Linked DNA regions of Bombyx mori. The protein of the gene in region 1 binds, or shares a complex with, the protein of each later gene. Links are inferred from orthologs where the notes say so. Each region holds a gene or a part of one and is shown in the gene's direction. Other genes may lie near its edges.

Region 1 (5,111 bases):
ATTTTCCATTTTCAATAACTATCTCTTAACGCAATGAATGCATTGATTTCTTTTTTATTATGTTTGATCAATGATCTAGCAGGCAGTAGCAATTGTTAATTAGTTATGTCGTTAATAATAAATTACAATTTGTAATAACGTCTTACGACCAACTTATAGCAAAATACACAACCAGTTTTCACAAATAATTAAATATACTAAAACAGAAGAGAATCCCTGCGATATTTAGGTTTTATTTTATTGCGAACTTTATCACATAAAAGTAAGTATTTTTGTTCGTTTCCGCTATTTATAGACACAATTAAAATTACTTTTACGATGTAATCTCACGTTTTTTACTGACATTAAATATACGACATTTAATTTTTGAATACTTTACAGTTTTCATGGTCACTGACGATATTTTAATGATGATGTTTTCTTGATTACGATCTTGATGATGACAATAAAAACCGCGAGATTATACCTTAACAGTAGTTTTAATTACTTAAAAATGTTCTTAAAGTTTTTAAACTTATATTATCAAAAGATTAGAACTATTTTTCATATGTTTACTGTACGAGTAATCACTGAAAATACTTTATAAAAATATATTTCACTTTCATCAATGTACTAATTTGATCAATAATGAATAAAGGTTATACCTACCGTCCTTGAACGAAGATAATAAAAATTGCGAGATAATATACTTTCCAAAGTAACTTTTTTGACTGCATTTCAGTTAATTTATTTTGAATTAATTGAAGCGTGACGTGTACAACCATTGAGTGAATTTTGATGATATTTTAAAATAAAACAAGCCACGCCACAGCGCCTTTAGTTGTGTGAGATCTGAATTTAAATACATAAAACATATAATAAAATCTCCGTGCTAACCTGCCTGAGAGACTTTGCTAACATCTACTGTAGCAAGAGTAGTGCTTTATTGAATTTATTGCCGGATCAGAATCGCGACCTACTGATAAGATCCGGTGAGAAACTCAAGGGTTGTGTCTGTGGGTTAATGTATAGTTGTGGTGTCACGGCGGAGCACACGTTCGCATACTGCCCCGCTTTCGCGAAGCAGCGCCGCACCCTCGTTGCAAAAATAGGTCCGGACTATGTGCGGCAGCGACGAGCCCTGGCAGGCGATGCTCGACTTCTGTGAGTCCACCATCATGCAGAAGGAGGCGGCGGAACGGGGAGAGAGAGCTCTTCTTTCCTCTCGGCGCCGGGCCACCGCCACCGAGCCGGGAATTGGAGGAGGGTGTTCGTCCAGCTCCAACCCCTGTGAAGAAGCAGTCTCCTCCCGGTGATGTTCACGGGGCGACCTGAGGTAGTCGAGGTTGCGCCACACGCTATTGTCACTGTAGCGTGCTGGCATGTGACGACGCATCTTCGGAAGCGGTCCGCGATGCGGTCCGCATTGCCGTCGTCGCTGTCGTCGTCGAACATACTGTGGAAGAGCAACCGTATAAGGGGCAGGGGAGTCGTTTAGTGCGGTAGGGTCCTTAAATAATTTTGGACCTACGGTCTGCTTCCAACATCTGCAGATCGTCAAGTCTCATATACCCTGCGTGCCCCCTAGGCGGGGGAACCTCATGGGAGGTTCAGCCCCCGGCCCCAAAAAAAAATTATGTTGTTATGTATGTACGACCGTTCTTGTGATTGATCATTCCCGATCTCGAGATTATATTTCATCCCATATCATCTCATTTCATTTCATTTCACTCCATATAATTATCATTTTTCATAAAAATAAGAATATTATAAATTAATATAAGACATGACCTAAAGATCTTAGTTACCAGGTCATAAAATCCCTTAAAAAAAAGTAAGGCGGTAAGGTCGATTGACGAACGACGATTTTGTTTTTATTTTGAAACCGTGAGCGGAATAATTGTCAATTTGTTATACATAATCACAAATTGTGTTGTGATCTACCTTTATTATGGAAAATTGGTCAATGGAGACACCATCAAGAATAAACGCTGAAAATATACCTCAAACCATAACTCAAAATCCGAGTGAACTTACATTGGGTTCGGCGTGTACAGAAAACGCTTTTCAATATCCAGCATTATTTACAAGCAAAAGCTTTCTTGAATTGTCCACTTGCTCGTGGTCAAGGGGTCGTAATGCTAATGAGAATATACAGCCTTATTTACGTGGATGTAAGTGGTCCCCAGATGGAACCTGTTGCTTAAGTGTTGTCAATAACGATGGTGTTCATGTTACCGAGCTTCCTAGTGAATTGTACCAGGGCGTTGTTTGTGGCGATCGTATAATCGATGTCTTAGAATCAGTGATACATTTAAAAGAAACAGGTTCAGTTTACGACTTCTGTTGGTACCCATTCATGAACAGCACAAATCCCCCTTCCTGTTGGTGAGTGAGATTTAAAACTCAATATTTGGTCTACAATGGAATTGATGTAAATATAAAATATCGTTACTTAAATATCAACCAATCTAAAAATTAAAAAAATGCTCAGTGCCTTATGACAAAGGTGTACAACCAATGTGTTTTACCAGTGATGACGTACGGTTCTGAGATATGGTGTTTCACAAGGGAACTTTTTAAGAAGCTTAGTGTCACACAGCAACCTATAGAGAGGGCTATGTTTGGTATTTCTTTATGAGATCGAATCAGAAATGAGGAGATCCATAGAAGAGCCAAACTTGTTACATAGCCCTAGGATTAGCAAGCTGAAGCGGCAGTGGGAATGCCATATAGTACGAAGATTGACAGCCGATGGGGCAGAAAAATCCTTAAATGGAGACCACGTACTGTCAAGTGCAGTGTGCCGTGTACCAGATGGGCTGATGACATAGTGGACATCAGTAGGAGAGGCCTATGTTCAGCAGTGGACAGGCTGAGATTATGATAAAATATCAATTTTAGTTTGTCAGTAAACATAATTTCTCTTCCTTTAAAATAAGGAGCTGAAATAGATTTCTTAAGAAATGCCTAACTTTCATGTAACTCAATAATTTTATTGACAGCTGGTTAACAACAAAACAAAATTCTCCCATACAAATGTGGGATGCATTTGATGGATCACTCAGATGTTCATACAGAGGATTCAATGCAGTAGATGAAATGGAACCAGCTTTATCAGTTAGCTTTACCTCAGATGGTAGAAAAATCATTGCTGGCTATAAGAAGCATTTAAGAATTTTTGATGTTGAGCGGTAATTCTTCATTATCAAATTTATCTTAAAACTTTAATTTCATGCTCAGTGTGGGTATTTAAGCAAAGCTTAGACTTGCTAATAACTACTTTATATCAAGGCAGGAAGCTTTTATCGTATCTATACTAATATAAAGAGAATTTGTTGTATGGAAGTAAAATCTTTTAATATACTCATTAAGTTAGTAATGTGCTCAAGATAGACAATTTTTTTATTTCTTTGATTGGTATACAACTAGGTTTTAAGTGATTACTAGAGCTCATAGACTTCAACAACATAATTGTTGCAATCCTGCCTGAGTTCTAGGTCTATTTTATTTGCTTGTATATTAATCAGTAAATTTTTTAGGCCTGGCAGAGAATTTACTGAGCAAAAGATTTCTAGTTCAGCATCTAGCATTTCAACACAAAATAACTTAGTTGCTGTTGGTTCTTGGAATACAACAATAACTTTGTATAATGAATCAGAAATTGGTACTAAGAAAATTGGGGACATGTATGGACATGGAGGTAAATAGCACTGAATAATTGGTGTAACGTTTGTTACATATTGTTATATATATACCCAATACCTATATATACCTAATCCAGCCATAAGTTCTGTTTCAAATGAAAATGTTTTTTTTTTAATGAAGTAAAAAGAAATGAAGTCAGCAAAAAATAAAGAAAAATATTCTACTTGAAATGGCCACCTTTGGCTTTTATACAGGCCTTTAATCTGTTTGGCCATGAAACTATGAATTTGCGCACTGTTTCCAAGGGAAATTTCACTGCTTGCTCCAAAGGTTTTTTAAGACTCAATGTCGCTGTATCGCTTAGAGCAGGCCATGTTCTCTAAAACTGACCATAATTTCAAGTCTAATGGTTGAGGTCTGGGCTCGGTGAGGCTGGACTTCAGCTCTTACAAAGTCTGGAACATTGGTTTCAAGCCAGGCTTGGGTAGTTCCTGCCTTGTGACCAGGTGCAGAGACATGCGGGCCAGTCCACAGTATATTTTTAAAAAGTGTATTGCTGAGAGGTTTTACAGCATAATCCAAGACATGGATACATGGACAATGATACACATTGACTGAAGTTTTCACTTTCTTTTTCACAAAAATATAGCTTGTGATTCCTTGATAAGACACGCCCCACCAAACCATCACTGATGCAGGATGATGACCACTTTGTACCTTTCCTACCATTTCAGCAGCTTCTTTAGAACTGTGAGTGTACACTTTATCATTTTGTTTATTGCAGTGTTCTTCAATAGTGAAATTTTTTTCATCAGTAAAGAGAATATTTCTGTGCCTTTCACCTGCATATCGCATCAAAAGGCATTTTCATTTATCCAATCACTTTAATTATAAAGATTGATTTAGGGTATATCCTGCGAGCTTCAGGTCTTGTTTTATAATACGCGACAGAGTCCTATCGGGAATCTTCATTTCTCGCTATAAGATATTTTGCTGCCTAATTCGACGGATTCTGGCTTTAACAGCATTAAGCCTTTGTAGTTGTAACAGGACGCGGCTGCACCGATCTTTTCTGGTCTTCGACAGACGAAGTGTTGTTTTATCTGTTGATAGTTCGATGTACCAACATAATGGCTGATACCTAGCATTTGAAGTGTCTGGAATATGACCGACGGCTCAATACCCACTTTGCGCAAGGCGATCACTGCAATCCTATTTTCCTTAACACCACATTCCTTTGTCATTTGATAATGAACACGAAAAAATATCTGAAATGGCGCAAAATCGAAAGAAGTTTTTAAAATAATATACATGTTCCAAATACAAAATAATTAAAAAGTTGAAAAAAAAGAAAAGTTTTTATGTAACAGTATTTATGGCCAGACTAAGTTATATAATAATATATAGCACAACAAGTATATATTTTTATCAGAAACCTTAAATCCTTTAAGTGCATTCATAATCATTTAGCATATTCATGAATA
Region 2 (4,019 bases), on another chromosome or scaffold:
GTCATTACTACACCTATTTTCAAGTGGCTGGACATCTGGAAATATGAAATAATGTTAGCAATTTCCAACAAACGTATAGTTTGTAAATATATAGGATTATATGTGTACTGTCGTAGTAGTAGTAGTAGTATTTAACTTCCTAGTCATCATCATCAGCCCATATAATATATCCCCTTGCTGGACACTGGCCTTCACTACCATTGAGAGGGTTTTTAGGCCTTAGTCCACCACGCTGGCCTAGTGCTGGTTGGTGGATTACACACCTAAGAAAATCCTAAGAACATTTAGGTGTGCAGGTTTCATCACAATGTTTTCCTTCACTGTTAAAGTAAGTAAGTGATATTACACTGTGATAAATTTTCATTTTCACAAACTTCCTAGTACCTTATGTAATAGGAACTGAGATCCACTTGCCCATTTTGGCTACTTCCACTAACTAACTAACTATTCTCATTTTTTCTGATATTGTTATTTGATTAGGAGATCTGTGAGTGTAACTAATTATTGACAGTTACACCTACCTTGACTACAAGATGGCAAAGGTATAATAATACGACACATCTCATTTTTAGTCGTCTCTTCAATTTCCTTGATAATAGTGAGTCTTTGCCGTTTCACAAATGCAGGCCGAGGTTCACTATGAGTGAATTTTCGTTTTCTATCTGCCCGACAATCGAATTTGGATGGTAAACAGTTTGGTTTCATTCGAATTCATTTAATGGAGCTCATTATCTTGTATTGCATATAATTCTCCATGTAGTTTTCCAGCTAAAACATGAAATAATTTTCCAACAATTTCAATACATAACCTATAAAAAAAATATTAAAATGTTATATTACTAATGTTAGGAATATAATTTCGACTGTGTCAAAATGTTATTATAATGTATACCTACATTATCTCTTGAAAGATAAATAATAAACATATTTACTTATTTGTTTATATTACCTATGTGAACTCTTAACCTATCTTTTTTATATCTTCATAGCGATAGGTATATAGGAGGATGGAAAAAATGTATTTGGTCTAACTTTACGCGAATGCACATTATTTTATTTATTTATTTTTTAATTTTTTTAATTAAACTGTATACCAATTAATCGATCCTTCAGGATTTATAATTGTTTTTTTTTTCACGATTAAAACCGCGTAGAAAGTTTAGGCATTATAGTTGACGCATGCGCCATAGATTATACACTTATGGCATGCGCAGTACACATATTTTGTATACATTTATTCAACTAATACAATTAATTAAACAAAAAATGAGTAATTTCGAAAGAGAACAAACGTATTTTATATAAGAACAATCGAAAATGAATATTTACGAGTAATTAAGGACGAAAAAATTTTAAAAATTGCAATCGAGGGGCTAACTTTTAGATATATTTTTAATATATTTTTTAAAATAAATAAATGGGGAACAAACAATTATTAACAATGAACAATCAAGAACAAATGATGAACAAACGAATTAATAGAAAATAAGTAGAAAACAGGAAAAAAAATTTTTTTTGAGGGGCTAACTTCATTCACCCTGATTTTATGGTAAATTATGGTCAATTGTCCTACTCTGTGGTTTAAACATAGATTATACATTTGTCATTTATATAAACTCAAAGACACAAAAACATAGATTCCACCGGTCACCGTTCTCGTCGAACCCGTCGCTTGCGACGAAGGGCTCGACGAGTAAATTAACTCTCAGACACAGCCCACTGAGTTTCTCGCCGGATCTTCTCAGTGGGTCGCGTTTCCGATCCGGTGGTAGATTCTGCGAAGCACGACTCTTGCTAGGGTTCGTGTTAGCAACATCGTCAGGTTTGAGCCCCGTGAGCTCACCTACTAAAGTTAAGGCTACGCTGAAATAGCCGCTAGGGCTATCAGCTTAGGTAGGGAAAAAAAAAAAAAAAAAAAACATAGATTATACACTTAATATATTTGAGACACAAAAACACTGAACAGTAAACACGAGGAATTACTGGATTACCACATACAAATAAAATAGCGCTAAATTAGTTGTAGTTTTTGTTATTTGCATTTTTAATAACATTAAAATGTATCTCAGGTATTACTTAAACGATAAAGGCGATAGAGAGTACACATTAGCGGTAAGTATTGTACTGTAACCTCGTCAACATGTGTTTAATTATTCTATCAATAATCTTTTTACTTTCTCAGACCATCGACCCATTTGGAAAACCAACATTGTCAGCACATCCAGGTAAATAACATCATCAAGTATGGTTTATTAGTGATTAATCGTTGTTTTCAAAAGTTAGAAGGTTATGTATGTTTTCCTAATAGGTAATGCATAACAGTGTTTTATAGTGGAAATAAGCTGTAAATGCTTGAGATATATTTAATCTAGTTAATATAGAAGACTAAGACAATAATATGGTTTATGAACTAAAAACAATTTGCTTCAATTATCTTTTATCCTGTACTGGTATTTATTAGGCCAAAGTAATAAAATTATTGACTGCTTTTAATATAATGTCATTTTTGTCAACCATCGAAACTGATTGTTTACGTTGGATAACAACCACCTTGACAAGCCTTGAAAGGTTTTCGGCCAAAAATCATCCTCTTATCCTAAAAAATCATGTTAGACGTTATCCCTGAATCTCACAATCTTATCATGTATTAATTATTGAAGATGGTGAAAATTACAATTGGAGATTCCATCTGATATATGCTAATGAAATCAAATTTAAAAAAAAGCAAAAAACAATCTCACATCTACAAAATAACAGGCTAATTTACTTCAATAATCCAATTGTTTTTATTGCAGCTCGTTTTTCTCCTGAAGACAAATACTCAAGACACAGAATAATAATCAAGAAGAGATTTGGCCTGCTGCTTACACAACAACCTGAACCTATTCATTAAAATAAATATTGATTTGTATTGAAAATTACCAAAATGGTCTAAATTTTGATACATTTTAACAATTCTTTTCAAAATCTAAGGCACACAGGATTTAGCATACAACAGAACACAAATGGTCTTACAAAATATATTACTTTATTATGACTTGCTCTTCCTTTTTCTAATGATTTTCATCTGATTGTGGTAATCCTAGGCTACCCCACTGGTACATAGGGCCCTTACAAGTTTTCTCCATTTGACCTTGCTCCTTGACATCATTCCAAGTCATGGTGGCAGTACTCATCTCACTCTCCACAGTGTGTCGAGAAGTATGTAAAGGATAACCAGGCTATAAATTTAATATAATTTATTTTTTATTACAATATCTCTTCTTATGATTATGTAAAATGAATGCAGTTTCAAAATATATGTTGTAATATAGTCGTAATGTTATGTGTGCTTTTATTATTTATAGCTACTATAAAGCAAGTCTTGATAGTTCCGTATATACACCAATTTCCTTCATGGACAATCGAGCCATGACTGATAAATGGGCTCTAACCTGGAGAGTATTAGCATGTGTTACAGTATCTGCCTCAGATAAAAATGGCCATGGCTGTGCCAGGAAATTTTATACAGTGAATATACTCAATCTGAAAAAATATATCTTGGTTACTAAAAAGTGATTATGTAGGCAGTATTTCTGAAGTTTATCTCTAGCTAAACATCCAGTAAACCATCTGCTAAATATGTTCACAAGAACACAGCAATGTGCCACAACTCCCTTTAGTATTTGGACAAGTTGAATAAAGTGTAGTGTCTAATAATGGCATTACAATTAATTTTAGTAGATTTCCTTGATGATAGAGTTTGACTTCTGAGGCTATCCACGGATTTAGTTACCCTTTGATGTGTGCATTTTTTATATGATTGAAGGATTACTGGTGCCCTGTAGGCCTTTCCAGTTTCACCAGGGCAGGGCATATGAGAACTGCTAGTCAGTCAGACCTTCAAAGAGATACCTAATAATCAGATGACATAACATCTGGAGTATATGGCGGGTAGGGTATGGCATCTCATCTGAATGTTTTCAAGTATTTTAACGGTTTTCGCAAGGTATGCCCGAGCATCATTGTCTTGCAAGAGA

Evidence for each region. Proteins that work in one complex are often made in the same cells at the same time.
Region 2: telomerase Cajal body protein 1 homolog (region 1) and H/ACA ribonucleoprotein complex subunit 3 share a complex: the UniProt entries of both Homo sapiens proteins name them as parts of the telomerase holoenzyme complex. The link is inferred for Bombyx mori from reciprocal best matches to the Homo sapiens genes WRAP53 and NOP10.

Annotation. Positions count from the first base shown.
Region 1 is NC_085124.1:10,449,784-10,454,894, forward strand, and holds the start of telomerase Cajal body protein 1 homolog, read left to right. Parts: upstream 1-1,793; 5' UTR 1,794-1,930; coding exon 1,931-2,367; intron 2,368-2,984; coding exon 2,985-3,173; intron 3,174-3,521; coding exon 3,522-3,682; intron 3,683-5,111. UniProt on the Homo sapiens protein: RNA chaperone that plays a key role in telomere maintenance and RNA localization to Cajal bodies. Specifically recognizes and binds the Cajal body box (CAB box) present in both small Cajal body RNAs (scaRNAs) and telomerase RNA template component (TERC).
Region 2 is NC_085131.1:8,622,640-8,626,658, forward strand, and holds H/ACA ribonucleoprotein complex subunit 3, read left to right. Parts: upstream 1-1,925; 5' UTR 1,926-2,058; coding exon 2,059-2,112; intron 2,113-2,182; coding exon 2,183-2,225; intron 2,226-2,795; coding exon 2,796-2,893; 3' UTR 2,894-3,325; downstream 3,326-4,019. UniProt on the Homo sapiens protein: Required for ribosome biogenesis and telomere maintenance. Part of the H/ACA small nucleolar ribonucleoprotein (H/ACA snoRNP) complex, which catalyzes pseudouridylation of rRNA.